Linked DNA regions of Daphnia pulex. The protein of the gene in region 1 interacts with the protein of each later gene in a biochemical or structural test. Links are inferred from orthologs where the notes say so. Each region holds a gene or a part of one and is shown in the gene's direction. Other genes may lie near its edges.

Region 1 (6,293 bases):
TTCATTAGACATTTGAATATCCAAGTTTCAACTGCAGCTTAATCACGTCGTGTTATTATACCTGGATCGGAAACTGAACAATCAAAAAGAGCCGGTGAAGGAATTGACGTTGTTGTTGGTGCAGCTTTTGTCCTGGCGGGGGTGTTGGATTTTGTGCTGATTGTTTTCTGCGATGTTGTTTGCGGTGCTTCAGGGATGTCGTCGTTCGTGCGGTTGTTTTGACTGACGTTGTTGTCTTGGCAGTTGTCCGTTTGGCTGTTGTTGTCGTCGTGGCAGGTTTAGTGGACGACGTTCTAACGGTGGTACTACTGGACACGGTTTGGTGGTTGTCGTTGTCTTCGATGTTGTTGATTTAACAGTTGTCTTGGCAGTTGTTGTTGGTGTCTTGCTGGTGGTCGTTGCAGGTGTTGGTTTCTTGGTTGTTTGGGCCTCCTGTTTCGTGCATCATCAAATAATAATGCGCCACATTATGTTCAATTAAAAAAGAGACGTGGAACAGATTGAAACTTAAACGAGAAATGTCAAAACAACTCACCATGGCGACAACCAGGCAGACGGCAACCAGAAGGAAGAGAATCGGAAGGAACTTCATTTTTTATCTAGGAGATCAGACGTGGGGGTTTAGGAATTCAAACGCCCAAGTGGGTCGTCATTTTATAGTCGAGCCGCATTTTTCTATGTCGATTATTTAAGTAGCGCCAGTTGAACTATCGGATTCAAATGAAACTTGACAATTTACGAGGGGCTGGAAAATGATTGGACGTGATACGAATGTGTTGGAATAAACACCAACTGCAACACCAACTTTGCAGGGTCGTTGTAATCCAGTTGAACCGATGACGGGAGTTGCAGCTGTTCACGTTGGATTTCTCCGTTTCTTTTGGAACTGCCCGGCGGATTGCAACTAATTGTGGGGAAATTGGAAATGAAAAGGAATTTTAGAGTCTATTAGCACACGTGACCTAATCACAGAATATGATTAGTTTTTAAGAAACGTATAGACTGAAAAATGTGTTTAACGTATTACGTGCACACTGTCCAGCACGGATTTTACGACCACCTGTGTCGGAATTAGCGATTCCAACTGAACTATATTTGGTACGCTCTGTTGATCAAACTTGTCGAAAGGCTAAACGGTCCCCTCTTGCAGTCGGATGAAACTGATTTTTAAAAATAAAAGTTATTTGCCTGCCACTGATTTAATAAATTAAATGAAATAAGATATATAACTTGAATTCACAACTGTTAGTGTTTAAAGCAATTAAAACGTTTTAATTTCTACAGAAAGTTTAGAGATCAGACAAGAGACATTGTAAATCTAAATTTCATTCTGTATGTTTGGTATCACAGCTAGGCCTACCTCATTTCGTTAGGAAGATGTATTAAAATGAAGTTTCTTCCATACTTTATCTGTTGATTCTGTTCACACTGATTTTGGATGATACTCTTACAACTGATGGAAAATTTGGTCTGAAAAATATTTGAAAATTTAGTATAAATTAATTTGGGTTGTGGGAGAAAACTTTTCTTTCTTCCAGATGGCAGTCTAAAGTTTAAGCTTTCAGGAATCGGCTGGCACTGGCTGGTATTCAAATTTTTGCCACTTTTTTAGTTTGGAAAACAGTTTTATATAAATTGAATGTTCAAGATTACTGGATCTATATTTGTATAACTTCTTCCTGCCAACATAAAAATTGTTGATGCTAGTTTTATGAAAACTGTTTAAACCAGGGGAGAGATCTCTGACACTGTCATTTGGACATCATCATACATCATGTTCTTAAAGAAAGACTTCCAACAGATCATTAAGTCAGAAGGTTAATTAATGAGAAATCCTATGGTAACAAATTCTTATTAAAATCAATTATCAATTTCAGTTAAATTCTATTATGACCAGCTCCATCGGCGTTTTTCATTTTCTGCTTATTTTGAAATTTTAAATTTTCTCGTCTGCTTATACGTTGCCAGATTTGATCCCATTCCGATTGCATCAATGAATAAATTTGGCAACAGGCAACGGTTAGGTTTGAAATTCCCTCCCCCTTCTTCTTCTTCGTCGTCTGGAATTCTCTTAGCGATCAAACGGTCACCATTCATCAATTGATTCTTGCTCACAAGTCCCGCAGGTAATTCCTCTCTCTATTAATTTTCAATTTTTCTGACATTCCCACGTGGAATAATAGTTTACTTCTTGCTTCGACTATAACAAATTGTGAAATAATGGTATGAGTCATCATTGACACATTTTTAACGACTGCCATAGTCTGGGAAATTTTGCACGTGGCGCGGGAAATTTTTTCTCTTTGTTGCTTCATTGTCTCGAGTCCCATTTCTCATTTTTCTTTTGTCATTGTGCCAGATTTGAAAATCCCTTTTAGAATTCTCTTTCTTTGACAGCTGGAGTAAATTACACTATCACAATGCCTACTGAAGCAAATCCCAGCCGGTTGAAGGACTTCAAGAACAAAGGCAGAGATGTTGAGGTAAATACCTTAAAATAACTAGTGTCAGTTCTCAAATGTAACAGATTTTTCATCTTTCTTGTTCAGGAAATGAGGAGGAGACGTACAGAGGTGAATGTTGAGTTGCGGAAAGCCAAGAAGGAAGATCATTTGTTGAAGAGACGTAACCTTGAAATCGATGATGAGCCCCTCAGCCCACTCCAAGAACAGAATCGGATGGCTGCAGCAAATATGAGCATTGAGGACATAGTCAATGGTATGTGTGCATCAGTTTTTATTTCTGAGTTGCTTCTCATATGTTTTTCATTATCGTTAGGTATCAACAGTGGTGATGAGAACAAGGAGATCACTGCAACCCATGCTGCCCGTAAAATCCTCAGCAGGGAACGTAATCCACCCATTGACATCCTCATTAATGCAAATGTTGTTCCGAAGCTGGTGGAGTTTCTCAGTCGTGTCAGCAAGTATGTCAAGTGTCTCTTTTGGTTTTTGAACATTTCCTAATGGTCTTTCTTTGTTTCAGCCCCGATCTGCAGTTTGAGTCAGCCTGGGCTCTCACCAACATTGCTTCAGGCACATCTGACCAGACAAAGGCTGTCGTCAGTGCTGGGGCTGTCGCTGGCTTCATTTCCCTGTTGGGGTCACCTCATCCAGTTGTGGCAGAGCAAGCTGTTTGGGCTCTGGGTAACATCGCCGGAGACGGACCAGAGCTTCGTGATCACGTCATCGAGCAAGGCATTATCAAGCCTCTGCTTACTTTGATTAAACCTGATACTTCGGTGAGTTTTATTTTAAATTTACGTTCGTGTGCAGTTGTTAATTGATTTGATCTATAGGCCACATTCTTGCGTAATGTCACTTGGACTTTGTCCAACTTGTGTCGTAACAAGAATCCTCCGCCCAGTGTCCCTGCCGTCCGGCAACTGCTTCCCGCATTGGCCCACCTGATCCACAACAACGACAAAGAGATCCTCGCCGATGCTTGCTGGGCTCTTTCTTACCTCACCGATGGCCCCAACGAACGGATTCAGGAGGTTGTCGACGCCGGTGTCGTCCCACGGCTGGTCGCTTTGCTGGACCACGTTGAGGTGGCCGTGATCACCCCCACTCTGAGAACAATCGGGAATATCGTTACAGGAAGTGACATTCAGACCGATTCCGTCCTGGCTGCTGGTGCCTGCCCGTTGCTGGCCAAGTTACTCGTTCATGCTAAGATGAACATCGTCAAGGAGGCTGCCTGGACCGTGTCCAACATTGCTGCCGGCAATGCCATCCAGATTCAGGCTCTCATCACCAACAATGTTATTCGTCCGTTGGTGGATGTGCTGGGCAAAGGTGACTTCAAATGCCAAAAGGAGGCAGCTTGGGCCATCACCAACATCACTTTAGGTAACTTATTTCATTTTTACTGGTGTTTTATTGATTTTTAATTGATTTTTCTTATTCATTTCAGGTGGCAATGTGGAGCAGATCGCCTTGTTGTGCCAGTTTGGTGCCATCGCTCCGCTGTGCACTTTGCTGGAGGCAAAGGAACCCAAGACCATCTTGGTCGTGCTGGATGGATTGGCTAATATTTTGGCCGCAGCTGAGAAAATGGGTGAATTGGAGAAAGTTTCCCTTCACGTCGAAGAGTGTGGTGGTCTGGACCGCATCGAAGCTCTGCAGAGCCACGACAATGTTGAAATCTATCACAAGTCATTGGCCATTCTGGAGCAGTACTTCTCAACTGACGTAATTTATTCTTTTTTTATTGTTTCTTTTTTTGGGTTTATTTCAATGATTACCACAACTGTTCACATTCATAGTGTTTGTGCTGACAACTTAACCATTACTGAGATTTTAGAAAATTAGTTTTATTTTGAAATAGTGTTCTTGAATTTGATTTAATCGTTTTTGTTTGTTATTTCGACAGGGGGATGAAGATTCCGAGTTGGCGCCATCTACATCGCAGAGTGGCAATTACGAATTCAACAACTCGCCATCTCAAGCCCCCGAAGGAGGTTTCTCATTCTAAATTTTGTATAATCTAAAAATTCTTTTTGATTTTTTTCTGCCTTTACAACGGTAAATATATTCTTCACTTTCTTGAACGCTATCCTAATCATGAGTTTTGGCCTTTTCTTATTTCAAAGTTTTTTTCTAAATTGTTTTTTAATTGAAAGTTGCCATTTGCTTTCATTTCTGTCCATGCACGACGTCTTCTTTCCTCTTTCTCAATGCGCGATAAACGAGCAATACAAAACAACTCGATCAACTCTACATTTGATAAGTTTTGATTTTGTCGTGCTAGTTTTTATTTTTTGTATTTCAAGTTGATTTCCTGATTCCAGGTTGTTGGCTGCTTACAGTTAATCCGTGTTCTGACATTTGTAGATAATTTCCACATCAAAGTTTCATTTCTACGTTGACATTTAACCCTAACAGATACTACTATCGACTACAGGAATCATCTTACAACGTCTGGACCCTTATCAAAGTTAAATTAGTTTTCCAATGTTTTCTTTAAAGTTTTTGCTATTATTTAACAGGATTCAGGATTTCCATTCTGAAGTTGATCAGCAAGTAGTAGTCGATCCTTATGGCACTTTGATCCACGATTGCTGTTGGATGAATCAACACTGTAGCCCTTCTGTTGGACTCGGTAATCAGGAGAAATTCAACCATGTATCCCAGGCAGTTGCTGCTGCCCAACCGTTTGAACCCATAAACTGCCCCTCCTTTGTAGCAACAGGAATTCGACTGCGTTTCATGGCGTGTCGCCCAAAGTGGGTGAAGAGATTCAATTTAGTCCATGCTGTTTCACTCAAGGCCTAGGAAAACTGGAGCTATTTTACAATCAACATAGACAAATGCGACGGACGATTTCGGTTTTGGATTCATAACCTCTACATCTTCTATATAGAAAATGAAATCAATTCCGATTATTCTCTTCGTTCTGGCTGTCGCTGTGGTAAGTTGTTAATGTGTGACAGTTCCCCTTTACTTTTAAAACCTTTATTTATTTATTTCACGTGCACAAAATAGGTGTCATGGAAACTCTGACCAGTTGCGACGACAACGGCCAACGTAAACACGGGTGTTGCCCAAATGTCCAGTCTGGCCCCTTCCACTGCGACAACGGGAATTATTACAGGATTTGCCAAAGAGACACCATGACTGTGCACCAGTAGGAAAGAGACTGGCTACGGTTGCGTTTATCAGGTATAAGCAATGCGTTTATTTATATCGATGGCATTTGATTGAAAACAATCGTGTCTGATCTACGATTGATTGTATTGTATATATTTTGAATTTGAATGGTTCTTGGAAGCTTCGCCAGATCCCAGTCAGTGTTTCAGTGTTTTTCTTGAATATCATGCTGATGAGTGATGACTAAATAATGAGATTTGACCACATTTTTTTTTACAGGGTATCTGCTTTGAAGATGGCCAACGTCAAATTTCTTTTTATTAATCCAATGAACAATACTGGTGGGTTTTCGAATGGACGTGGTAACAGTTTTGTTTTGCTTATTTGACTTATTGGCCTTTGATTGTAATGTGGGCATCTTATTTTCTAGACATACAGCATGCGACCGTTCATCCCTGGCAGGAGGATCAGGTGGATCGGGTCCAGAAGCCGGAAGCCCATCATACGCTGGTTGAGAGTGACGTCTGTGACGAGTTGGTGGCGGCCAAGACGATTCTGTCGACTCAGTAGCTGCCGCAGTTGTTGCGGCCCATCAAACGAGACGTCCAGCGGGTGAACCAGCGACGATGGCCGATATTGACGAGAAAGTGAATTGATCGGATCCAGCATCCCGGCTGCCCACGGCTACTTGGACTCGGCCAG
Region 2 (6,531 bases), on another chromosome or scaffold:
ATAAACATATATTATTTGATTTGCATTGACAATTTCAAATTAAATTATATCCTTATTTATAGCTTCAAATATCCACAATTATAACGAAACGTCAGGAAATATGACTTCTCCCGGTTATGGAATATCTTACCCATCTCAAACAACAGAAGATATACATGTGATTGATGTCACAGATGTGGCAGGGGAATATGTGGACCTGTTACTCACAGTTAATGTACTGGACATTGCAGGCATCAACGGGGACTACATCACACTTGGACCTGGTTATTCTCCTAGTTCTTGCATATTTATTGTATTTAAAAAAATTCGTATTTTTCGCTTCGTTACAGGGTCGGAACCTTCGGTTGATAAGAGCGCAGTTGTCCTCTCGTGGCGTGTTACCAAAGGAGTTCAATTTTTGATTGATGGACCTAAAGCTCATTTAGTTTTTAATGTTTTACGACCCGCCGACGCTGAACAGGTTTCCGCAAAAGGATTTTTCATCTCCTACCAAGTGATTGGTAATTACAACACCAGTAGTTGATGGTGACGGTAAAATATAAATTTTTTTGTTTCAATTATATAGAAAAGAATTTGACAACAGCAGCGCCCATGACCACACCTATGCCTACAAGCCCCACGCCTTTGCCATTTGATCCAGATATCCTTTTAACTGATGTCGTCTACCACACATATGTGGGCGCCGAAGCATCTTCACAGCTGGCAGAAATTTTGCAGATGTATGCCGAGTCATCTGGAATGCTGGAAAAAGGCGAAATAGTTCCTAATTTAACGTAATAAGCGATTTTTCTTCTATTCCATTGTTCATGAAATATTGAATTAAATTGTTTTCCTTAGTGCTGTCGGTACTGTCCAAATAGTTCAAGTTGAGAACTGTTATCATGGATGGAATGTCGATATGGACATCTGCGGTCTGACGCATGTGATTGTCCGCGCGTTTTACCAAAAAACAGGAGAGACTGATGTCACTTACGCCTTTCCGACCGAAGAAGTAAAAAAAGCTGTAAGGGAGTATGGCTACATTCACGAAGTCGTCCTGCCAGAAGACTTGGCCAACTTGTACTGGATCTTTGTTGGTGTCGTCCTCATTCTAATTATTTTAATCCTCATTGGGTTATTAATTGTCTGGCGGCAAAAAATGCGTCGTGACGCTAAAAAGTAACAACATTTTTCATTAGATATTTTTGAAATTACCGTAGACATAATTATTTTAATCATTTATGATTATTTAATTTTTTTTGGGTTAGGCGAAGAAAGTATCACGAAATAAAAAATGATAATCATTCCGTAGGTGCCGACAGTGACATTTCTATCACAGGCGTTGGCAAATCAAGTCGCTTCGAAATGAATTCTGGTGTTGATAATCCAAATTTCGTTATTGACGTAAGTTGTTGGCAACACATTTATTGTGTTTATCCTGAATTCAAACTCATTCGTTAATTTAACAGGAACAAGAAAATGGTCGCCCCGTAATGGTTTACGATCCGGAGAAAGGAACATTTTATTCGCGAAACAGTCACAGACCTACTTATCAAGTAAGAAATGTGGATCAGGGACCAGCTCGATCAGCGGCTGTACTGAATGTTTCACCCATCACCAGCGGTTTCCAACGGCAGAATGGAAGCAATAGAGATCAAATAGCGAATGAGGGAAACGATATGTCATCTATCATGCCACCACTTCCCACCGTACCTAAACGTGGAATCTTGAAGACTAAATCTAGCAGCAGTCCGACCAACCGCGAGTTTCCCAACATTTCTTCTATTCCAATGGAAGAGATGGAAGATGTTGTATTCGACAACGATACCTTTAAAAACATGCAACAACGTCGATACTCTCCTGCGTCTTCATCGTCGGATACGATAACATCTTCATCAAGGTCTAGTAGAGTGAACTCCATCTCCACGGATCAACAGTATGAATTGCATGATGTTGTACAATTTTAAAACAATATTCGTACATTCTTTGTTTCAGGATTGGATCACATGTTTTGTACGGTATCACATTGACGGATTTTGATTCAGAAGAAGAAATTGAAACTAATTTTTAAAAACAATTTAATAATCAACGCCTTATTATGACGCCTTATTATTTTATTATTATTTTTACTTATTCGTCTTTAAGAGGCCCATTTTTAGAATTGTAATTGATTTTCGCAGACAAGACATTTAATAAATCAAATAACTGAATTGAATTTTACTGTTATTAGTTCGAATTCGTGTAAAAAATAGTAATTTCGTAATTTCCCGCTTTACGCCATCTAGGTAGTGGTTATGTCATTACGTCTGTAAAACATTTTCTATTTCCACCGACAGGCAGAAAACTTCGTTCAGACGATTTTTAAATCTAGAGAAGTCATTTTCAACCGTTCACTCACAAATTTTCAGTAAGTTATTTTATTATATTCGTCGGAATTACAATAGGAATAAGTTTGTATGAATGTTTTGTTGATAGATGTGCTTAGAAGTAGTTGTCAGGTGAGACAAAGTATTTTTAAAATCATTCTGGTTATTTCTATTTGACCATGTGCTATAGTCATGCACAACTTAAATAGGGAAGTAAATTAAAACTAAATCAGTTGGTTGTAACATCGGTACATCTTTTAATAATTTCCCTCCGAAATTCTGAATGATGTTTCAGTGTCTTATGAGCCTCATACTGAAATGATGATTCACGATTTTCTTGTATTCTTGTGTGACAGGAATGGAGATCAATGATGCAAATTTATCAGAACTATTAGGTCATCTTCAAAAGACGCTATCACCTGATGGAGTTACGAGAAAATCAGGTATATTGCACAATTATTCTTTGTATTGACATAAATGCATGATTAATGTTTTTTTCATCAATAGCTGAAAAATGCCTTGAAAGCATTGAAGGAAAACAAAATTACCCACTGCTGCTTTTAAATTTGGTGGATAAAGATGGTGTTGACATGACACTGAGAACAGCTGGAGCTGTGACATTCAAGAATTACATTAAACGAAATTGGAAGGTTGAAGAAGATGCAGTAGATAAAATCCATCACTCTGATCGGGAAACTGTCAAACAGTTTATCATCAATTTAATGCTCAAAGCTCCTGAATCTATTCAACGCCAGCTCAGTGACGCTGTTTCAATTATTGGTCGTGAAGATTTTCCTGCAAAATGGCCAAATTTAATTCAAGAAATGGTGGACAAATTTGGCACGGGTGACTTCCACGTTATTAACGGTGTGTTGCATACTGCCCATTCCATCTTTAAACGTTATCGCTACGAGTTTAAGTCTCAAGAATTGTGGACTGAAATCAAATTGGTTTTGGATAACTTTGCCAAGCCACTGACAGACCTGTTTATTACGATGATGGGTTTGGCTGCGCAACATGCTAATAATCCGGCAGCTGTAAAGGTCATCTATAATTCCCTGACCATCATTTGCAAAATTTTCTATTCGCTGAATTTTCAAGACTTACCCGAGCATTTTGAAGACAACATGAAATCATGGATGGAAAACTTTCTTGGCCTTCTTACCACCGACAATCCTTTACTGAAGAGTGACAGCGATGAAGAAGCCGGATTAGGTGAACAATTAAAATCACAAATCTGCGATAATATCAGTCTCTACGCTTCGAAATATGATGAAGAATTTCGCCCTTATTTGCCTCAATTTGTCACTGCCGTCTGGAATCTTTTGGTTTCAACCGGCAAAGAGGTAAGACACCGCTGAATACTCATTTTCAATGAGTGGTTTTTCTAATGTTCAAAATCTCTTTCGTCTATAGGTCAAGTACGATTCACTCGTTAGTAATGCAATCGGCTTTTTGAGTTCCGTGGCTGAGCGACCACATTACAAAGACCTTTTCGCTGACCCCAATATCCTGAGTTCCATTTGCGAGAAGGTTATTTTGCCCAACATGGATTTCCGGCCATCGGATGAAGAACTCTTTGAGGACAACCCAGAAGAGTACATTCGGCGTGATATCGAAGGTTCTGACGTAGACACTCGACGACGAGCAGCCTGTGACTTAGTCAAAGCCCTTTCAAAATCCTTCGAGGCCCAGATGACGGAAATCTTTGGTCGGTACGTTGCTGTCATGTTGGAGTCGTACGTACAAAGCCCAGAAAAGAATTGGCGGTCAAAGGATTCTGCCGTTTATCTCATCATTGCGTTAGCCTCGAAAGGTCAGACGGCTCGACACGGCACGACTCAAACTAACCAGTTGGTAGATCTTGTGGATTTCTTCCGCACGCACATAGTGCCCGAACTGCAACAACCCAACGTTGACCGGCTCATGGTCTTGAAAGCGGATGCAATCAAATACTTGATGACTTTCCGCAACCACCTACCCCGCGAGGCCATCATTGTCTCGTTGAAACCCTTGGTGGACCTGCTTCGTTCACCGAGTCTGGTCGTTCACTCCTACGCAGCCAATGCCATCGACAAATTGCTTATTCTCAAGGGATCCGATGGATCGGCCTTGATTAAAGCAACTGATTTGTCTGGAATGGAGCAAGCATTGCTGGCAAACTTGTTCCATGCAATGACTCTTGCGGGATCGGAAGAAAATGAATACATCATGAAGGCCATCATGCGAACCTTTTCGTCGCTACAAGAAGCTGTTTTACCCTATCTAGGTCACACTTTGGTTGGCCTGAATCAAAAGTTAATGTTGGTGTCCCGAAACCCTTCCAAGCCACATTTCAATCACTACCTGTTTGAAACACTTTCGCTGTCGGTTCGCATCGGTTGCAAAGCTGATCGATCAGCCGTCGCTTCCTTTGAAGAAGGATTCTTTCCTTCTTTTCAGGAAATTTTACTTCAGGACGTACAGGAATTCGTCCCTTATGTTTTTCAAATTCTTTCTCTTATGCTTGAGTTGCGCGGTGGGCAGTCTGAAGTGCCTGAATCTTACATGGCTTTATTCCCTCATCTGCTGGTTCCAGTCCTCTGGGAGCGCCCTGCAAACATCCATCCATTAGTGCGTCTCCTTCAAGCCTTTATCCAAATTGGCAGTCGTCAAGTTGTTGCGTCGCAAAAGCTTGAAGCGTTATTAGGCATCTTTCAAAAGCTAGTGGCCAGTAAATCTAATGATCATGAAGGATTTTACCTGCTGCAAAGCATGATTGAATATCTGCCCAAGGAAGCGCTTACGCCTTTCTTGAGTAAACTCTTTGTACTCTTATTCCAGAGGCTTTCATCCTCCAAAACAACGAAGTACGTCAAATCGATCATAGTCTTTTTCTCCTTGTTCGCCATTCGCTACAGTCCCACAGAGTTGATTGCCGTCATAGACGCTGTCCAACCGAAAATCTTCGCCATGGTTCTCGATCGTCTCATAGTACCTGATGTTCAACGCGTGTCGGGCACTTTGGAACGCAAAATTTGCGCCGTTGGACTAGCTCGTCTGCTCTGCGACACTCCCGAATGTTTCACAGGTATTTTTCTGACCTCTTTTAACATGTATGTTGTATTGCTAACATTCAATTTGTAATCCTCAGGAGTATACAGCACTTTTTGGGGGCCGGTGTTGGGGGCCTTGATTGGCTTGATTGAATTGCCCGAGGACGAGTCTGTGCCAGAGGACGAACACTTTGTTGAAATCGTGGACACACCTGGCTATCAGTCAGCTTTTTCACAGTTGATATTTGTAGGCAAGAAAGAGCGCGACCCAGTCGCCGAAGTAGCCGACCCACGAGCTTATCTCGTTCAAGCACTGCACCGATTATCGACGCAGAATCCTGGTCGAGTCGGTCCCATGATTAGCGCTGCCTTGCCACCGGGGGCTCAAAATTATATTCAGCAGTATCTTCAGGCAGCGAATCTCTGTCTAGCTTGAAGGATGTCCATCTATTCTCTCGTACCTTGTCATTTCTCAGTCGCTGTTGTGCTTTATGGTTTCATTCTGTATCGATCATGAATAAAATGCTGCATCTTTCGCACGAATTGAGAATATAACCCATTTGGAAGTAGTTAACTGTAATCATAGGTAAAAAGAGGGCGTTTCGCATTAGGATGTAATTCAGTTTCCTATTCCTGGCACCCTTATAAAGAACGGGAAACTTTCACATCCTTATGAAATTTGGGTTTTACCAATGCCTTTGGGCTTTGGCCATCAGTCTGGATCTGTTCACGAGGTAATCCTTGATGGAAAAGTGTTAGAAATTAATTAAAAATAAATAAAATTTCAATTAATAATTTAATCCGATGTGATTAATTTACTTTTAAAATATGGATAAAATTCAGTTTGGTGATATACGATATTATTATTTCTACCGCTAGCAGAAGTCGACACCATCTTTGACCAATCGGTGCTCACTACAAAAAAAAGTTAACAGTAGAGAGCCGACGCCACCTGCCATCGTATAATATCATCCCATTCCCCTATCCTCTTGACGTTTTGATTAAAGTCTTTGGTCTCACTGGATCGGCCCCCTTTTTTTACGTTTACCTCACACTGCACCATTGTAGTGGATCAGGAAATAGAAACAATTTTATACATCCAAAAACGTCATGTCGAGTCCCGTGTCCAGAACCGAAAAGGAAAAACAGAA
Region 3 (6,306 bases), on another chromosome or scaffold:
CACCCACTCATATAAAATTTCCGCTTTCTAGACAATGTTCAACGGTACCCGTTAATAACCAAGTTTTTTTTGTTTTTAATAGGCAAATTTAAAGTGGAAAATAGATGGGTACTGCAGGCAAACCCAAAAGGGCTGGCGATTTGCTTTGCGTTTACCTCTAGAGACGGAAACAAGGAAGTACAACCATCCAGGATGAATTTGGCATCTTCTTTTCTTGGAACAATGTCCCACTGATCTTTGTCGTGCGTTCCGCCCAGGACAACACTGTCCTGACTGTCAAGGTAAGAACGCAAAAATTAAAATTGAATTAAAAGAGGGAATCTATGTTAGCGGATAATACTTTGGGATAATATAGTTTCCTTTGTCGCTGTCATCGATTAATATCGATTTTTGCCATGGAGCTTTCACCTGTTGAATAAAGCGACAAGTGTCTTGAAATAAATTCGATGTGTATCTAAATGCAGTGAATTAATTACGCGAAAGATATGTCCCCGGATTGGGTGGACTGATATGTCGTTGACCAATTCTTTGGCTCCTATTCCGGAGCAGTTGATAATGACATCAAAATCGGAAGCAATCTCTTCGAGACTTTCAAGTCGTTTGACTATGACGATGCCATTTTTTGAGCGAAATTCTTCCAGCAGGTGGGGCATTAATTTAGACCCTTCACAAATAAAGGTGACAAAACGGTAGCCTTGCCTGTGATTCAAGATTTAAAAATAAATTTCACTGTGACTCACGATGCAGTAGCAGTATAACAATATTAGCAGACCTCCATTCAGGCTTATTGTACAATGCCAATTCTTCTTTTGTAAGAACTTGAAATCCATAGACGAAATCGCTATACATGGGCACGGGATTTACCGTGTCAGAAGTCTGCAAACATGGCACAAGAGAGACTCCAAGTTTTCCTCCTACAGGAGAGTCCCATAGTTTCTTTAAAAAAATCCATGTATCCTTGGAATAAACACTACAAACAATAGAATTAAAAGTTAAATATAGCTTTAACTTTAGAAAGAAACTTACTAAACATCTTTTTCAGGAGTGTCTCCCAACAAGAAAGGCATCCAAAGTCCAGCTAATAATGTAAACAAAAACAGAAATGTAGTCTTATATTATAAAAAACTTTTGTTGATGAACAAACTATACCTGCCCCATCACTTGTTGTTCCAGGGCTAAATTTGTCGGCAAAAAGGGTAATAGGTAAATTGGGGAATTTCTCTTGAAGTACTGTTGCAACACTCAGGCCAGTCACACCTGCTCCAATCACTGCTACTTTCACAACCATAGTGATTAGTTTAAATACAACACAATATGATGAATACACAAAGTCAATCCAATCGAGATTTTCTGGGTCTTGATCTAATGCGACTGCCTGTTGCTTCAGCAGCAGATGCTTCAGGTTTAGGGTCAGATACAGTTCCCAGCAACTCCCTAACAAACTTGAATCGTGACAAGAAGAATTTCCAAACTAGAAACCAACCTGATTAGAAACACAATAGATTAGAATGTTTTTTAGGTTTAAGCATATGATTAAAAATAAGCATCAAGGACAAAATTTTTATCATGAATTTAAAAAAAGACATAAAGATAACTGTTGTTGATGTTCTTCGCCCATGCATATTAATATTGCGTAAACAACTTACCAATTCCAACAATGCTCAAAACAATAATAACGGAAGCCACCAATCCTAGAATCACGAGTAGTACGTCAGTGACGAAATGGCTCATTTTTATGGAAGTAAAAATACAAAATTTATTTATTCGTTGCCATGTTTAAACACGTAGACAGCAGACAGATTGTGTTATCAAAGTTATTGACTACTGATTTTCTGCAGACAAACAGAGAGCGTTCAGTATGGTTACGTTTTTGCCTTTCTACCTGGTTCCGCGATAGTGGCGGTACCTGTCGTCCTTCAACAACGATACTTAATTTGGATTATTCTTGTAATAAATGTTTTCTATTCGCACGTAGGACAATTTTTCTTTTCATTTTGATGTAAGTTTTTTTACATTTTAATAGTTTGACTATCCTGTCGAATCTATGACGAAATGCTTGGATACAATTCAAGTCAGTACGTGTTGCAGCATTAACGGGCGTCGTCAGCTGAGAATAGGTTGCATTTTAATCATGGTTCACAAGGAACAACGAATTATTCTTCATTTTAGGAACTATAACAATTTATTCGTAAAAGTTAAAGCAGTAGCAATATTTTAAAATATAGAAATCTGCTCTATTGATTCAAATTTCAAATTGGCGCCATCTATTCTGACAGTTACTAACCGAAAAAGCTTCCAATTCCCTGTGGGATTGACGGACTCATAAATATCATAGCAGCCTACAAAAATTATAATTTAGTGAAATTTGACTCTAATTAAGAAACTATGTAGGGCAGTACGCTTTTCTTAACTTCGAAGGATAGCAAGTTGATTATTTTAAAGTTGAAAATCAAATTTCAACTGTAGTGGCAAAATGGCGTTTCCTTAATTCCAATTAATCAAATGCAGTTTTCCCCGGAGAGTTTTCATAATTTTTGGATACTCTTGGTTAAACAATCACATTTTTTCGTAATCACTTTGCCGCCATTTTATGAGAGCGGAAGTTAACTTAACCCTACGCATGGACTACATAGATCCGATTGAAATACTACATTCTTTAACAAAAAGATTCATGATTAGATTTAAAATAATTGAAAAATTTTATTTTTCACAGTACGTCGTTTTAATATATTTTATTTTTGGTCATTAGTTGAATATAAAAAATTCGTGTAATTCTTTTTCAAATAGAGGTCGCTTTTCCTTGAGAAAAACTGGTGGTTTTTTTTTCGCCACATGTGTTCGCCCTTCGCCGGTTGAGACGAACTTAACCGTCTGATTCTTTCACGCCTAGCTATTAACAAGTCCTAGAAGTTTTTTTTACGACTGAAAGATCTGTGATATTTATTAATAAAAGGAGGGAAAATGGTGCCCGAACCAAATATTCAACTAATTCAAATTTTGGAGAAAACTGTATCGTCAGGTTAGTTACTTAAATTTACTTTTTTCTACAACGGCATGGTTACAACGCCATTGATTTTTCCCGAACACTGAATGGTTTTAGTAACTGTCATTCACGTTTTGTCTAACAGAGAAGAATGAATTGGAAGCAGCCCAAAATTATCTTGAACAGGCAGCAAGAGGCAATCTGGTAAGCAACTTTCTTTGTTTCAACCAACTTTTCTCCCATTTTTGTGTTGCTAAGCAAAACTTGTATCAAATGTGGTTTGGCTAGATAAATTTAAAATTCAAACTAAGTCTCTACTTTGCTAAACTTGTACTTCTCACATAGGTTGAGTTCATCAGAGCCTTGTCTGACATTCTTGCCCATGGAGCAAATAGCCCTGTTGCCCGCATGGCAGCTGGTCTGCAGTTGAAAAATTGCTTGACTTCAAAAGATACCGATGTCAAGCTGGAATACCAGCAGAGATGGTTGTCATTCCCACACGATCTAAGGACCTATGTAAAAAAGAACATTTTAGCTGCTTTGGGTACAGAGACCATCCGCCCTAGCTCTGCTGCTCAATGTGTTGCGTACATGGCAGTTGCTGAACTACCAGTCAGTCAGTGGCCAGAATTGATATCTGTACTTGTTGCCAATGTCACTGCAGCTAACAGCACAGAAATGGTTCGGGAAGCCACTCTGGAAACGATTGGATATATTTGCCAGGATATTGTGAGTGATTCAAGTATTACATAATTTGGATGAGAAAATTATAAAATATGTTTTAAAAATGCAGGATGCTGAAGTACTAGCTACTCAGTCGAACGAGATTCTCACTGCTATCGTACATGGCATGAAACGTGAGGAACCAAGCAATCACGTCAGATTGGCTGCCACAACTGCGCTATTGAATTCATTGGAGTTCACTAAAGCTAACTTCGACAAAGAAGTATGTATTTTACTATTTGAATACCTACGTTTGTTATTACTGATCGCTTTCTAATTGTGTAGAGTGAACGGCACTTCATCATGCAAGTTGTGTGTGAAGCAACGCAATCTCCCGACACAAAAGTACGGGTTGCAGCACTTCAATGTCTGGTCAAAATTATGTCCCTATATTACCAATACATGGAGCACTACATGGGGCCAGCACTTTTTGCGGTGAGTTAATCAAACTGACAAAAAAATTTATACAAATTTTAAAGTTTTTACTCATTATTATGAATAGATTACACTGGAAGCGATGAGGTCGGAGATTGATGAAATCGCACTGCAAGGTATTGAGTTCTGGTCGAACGTTTGTGACGAAGAGGTGGATTTGGCTATCGAGGCCAGCGAAGCTGCTGAAATGGGCCGTCCGCCTGAACATACGTCTAAATTCTACGCAAAGGGAGCTCTTCAATATCTAGTTCCTGTGTTGATGCAAACGTTGACTAAACAAGAAGAGTATGATGATGAAGACGATTGGAATCCCTGTAAGGCTGCCGGTGTGTGTCTCATGTTGTTAGCCAACTGCTGTGAAGATGTCATCGTTCCTCACGTCCTTCCTTTCGTCAAGGAGAACATTGAGGTTGGATACAGTTCTTGAAATCACATTTTTGGTACAATAACATTTTCGTTTTTCAACAACTTTAGAATCCAGACTGGCGTTTCCGTGACGCCGCCGTAATGGCTTTTGGTTCTATCCTTGAAGGACCTGATGCTGTTCAGTTAAAACCTATTGTTGAACAAGCTATGCCTTTCCTTTTCAAATTGATGCATGATACAAGCGTTAATGTACGTGACACTGCAGCCTGGACGATTGGACGAGTTTGTGAAATCATCCCCGATGCAGCTGTGGCTCCCCCCAATCTTCAGCCACTGCTTCAGGCTCTCGTTACTGGACTGACTGCTGAGCCTCGTGTCGCTTCTAATGTTTGCTGGGCTTTCTCGAGCCTGGCTGAAGCTGCCTATGAAACTGCTTCACAGGTAACACTGAAAATTTGTAACTACGTTCAAATAAACCTAAATTTATGTTCTTGAGTTGAATAGGCTACCGATGGAAATGAACCAGATTCGTACTGCCTGTCTGAATATTTTGAGCCCATCGTTCAAAAGCTATTGGAAACGACTGATCGGCCTGATGCTGCTCAAGCTAACCTCCGTGCTGCTGCCTATGAAGCTTTGATGGAAATGGTCAAGAACTCGCCCAAAGATTGCTATATTACTGTACAGAAGACCACAATGGTCATCTTGGAGAGATTGCAACAGGTATTATCACTTACTCTAAAGCATGTTTTGGCATTGTAAAACGGATAAATTTTTTTAGGTTCTTAACATGGAATCCCACGTGTCGTCGCATTCGGATAGAGTCCAATACAACGATCTTCAGTCGCTGCTCTGCGCCACATTACAGAGCGTGCTTCGTAAAGTCACCCCAGAAGATGCTCCCAAGATCTCTGACCCGATCATGGCGGCCTTGCTGCAGATGTTCAATTCGAGCGCTGGGCCAAATCGTGCTGGTGGTGTTCAGGAAGATGCGTTGATGGCAGTGGCAACATTGACGGAAGTCCTTGGCGAAGGATTCATCAAGTACATGGAAGCCTTCCGTCCCTACCTTATCATGGGATTGAGAAACCACGCCGAGACTACCATCTGCCAGGCGTCCGTCGGACTGGTTGGCGACATTTGCCGAGCTCTAGGCGCCAAGATCTTGCCTTTTTGTGATTCAATCATGTCGCTTCTATTGGAGACCCTTGGCAACAACGAAGTTGATAGAAAAGTCAAACCCCAGATTTTGGCTGTATTCGGAGATATGGCTTTGGCAATCGGCCCAGAATTCAAGAAGTATCTTGAATTGGTTATTGGCATGCTGCACCAAGCATCTCAAGCCCAAGTCAACCGAGTAATTACAATTTCGTTTAATTTGAAAGTGTTTGGTTTTAATGTTTGGTTATTTGCAGAATGATTTTGATATCATGGATTATTTGAATGAACTGCGCGAATGCTGCCTTGAAGCATACACTGGAATTGTTCAGGGTCTCAAAGGGGAAGACAAAGAAACTATTGGAAATGATGTCCAGCTTATACTTCCACATGTTCCCCACATGATAAACTTCATCACTACGATTGCGAGAGACCGGGAGAAATCAGATGGCACCATTTCTGCCGCCGCTGGTCTTATTGGGTACAGGATCATTTTTTATTTAGCTAGTACTTGTATTTAATATAATTCTCTCTCAGCGATCTTTGCTCTGCCTTTGGACATCAATTGCTGCCTTTCGTTGACACTGAACCAATCACCGACATGCTGACTATTGGACGACGATCTAAAACGGGAAAGACAA

The links.
Region 2: the proteins of importin subunit alpha-1-like (region 1) and exportin-2-like form a complex in vitro, tested with the Homo sapiens proteins (2 studies listed by BioGRID). The link is inferred for Daphnia pulex from reciprocal best matches to the Homo sapiens genes KPNA2 and CSE1L.
Region 3: the proteins of importin subunit alpha-1-like (region 1) and importin subunit beta-1-like form a complex in vitro, tested with the Homo sapiens proteins (6 studies listed by BioGRID and IntAct, with this or other methods). The link is inferred for Daphnia pulex from reciprocal best matches to the Homo sapiens genes KPNA2 and KPNB1.

Annotation. Positions count from the first base shown.
Region 1 is NC_060028.1:47,475-53,767, reverse strand, and holds importin subunit alpha-1-like, read left to right. Parts: upstream 1-1,973; 5' UTR 1,974-2,126; intron 2,127-2,359; exon of another isoform or gene 2,360-2,397; 5' UTR 2,398-2,420; coding exon 2,421-2,483; intron 2,484-2,549; coding exon 2,550-2,718; intron 2,719-2,778; coding exon 2,779-2,926; intron 2,927-2,985; coding exon 2,986-3,241; intron 3,242-3,298; coding exon 3,299-3,851; intron 3,852-3,915; coding exon 3,916-4,193; intron 4,194-4,374; coding exon 4,375-4,476; 3' UTR 4,477-4,721; downstream 4,722-6,293.
Region 2 is NC_060018.1:3,694,456-3,700,986, reverse strand, and holds exportin-2-like, read left to right. Parts: upstream 1-2,298; 5' UTR 2,299-2,386; exon of another isoform or gene 2,387-2,477; intron 2,478-2,701; 5' UTR 2,702-2,703; coding exon 2,704-2,788; intron 2,789-2,852; coding exon 2,853-3,691; intron 3,692-3,761; coding exon 3,762-5,415; intron 5,416-5,478; coding exon 5,479-5,816; 3' UTR 5,817-5,923; downstream 5,924-6,531. Other genes in the region: uncharacterized protein LOC124188473, read left to right, coding at 63-263, 330-500, 566-773, 838-1,158, 1,248-1,383, 1,449-1,915, 1,975-2,050; stromal membrane-associated protein 1-like, read left to right, coding at 6,491-6,531. UniProt on the Homo sapiens protein: Export receptor for importin-alpha. Mediates importin-alpha re-export from the nucleus to the cytoplasm after import substrates (cargos) have been released into the nucleoplasm.
Region 3 is NC_060020.1:1,461,696-1,468,001, reverse strand, and holds the start of importin subunit beta-1-like, read left to right. Parts: upstream 1-2,771; 5' UTR 2,772-2,961; coding exon 2,962-3,019; intron 3,020-3,128; coding exon 3,129-3,187; intron 3,188-3,328; coding exon 3,329-3,712; intron 3,713-3,776; coding exon 3,777-3,929; intron 3,930-3,991; coding exon 3,992-4,141; intron 4,142-4,208; coding exon 4,209-4,550; intron 4,551-4,615; coding exon 4,616-4,948; intron 4,949-5,011; coding exon 5,012-5,230; intron 5,231-5,288; coding exon 5,289-5,864; intron 5,865-5,922; coding exon 5,923-6,146; intron 6,147-6,202; coding exon 6,203-6,306. Other genes in the region: D-aspartate oxidase-like, read right to left, coding at 1-27, 156-273, 341-408, 477-699, 773-970, 1,027-1,078, 1,150-1,288.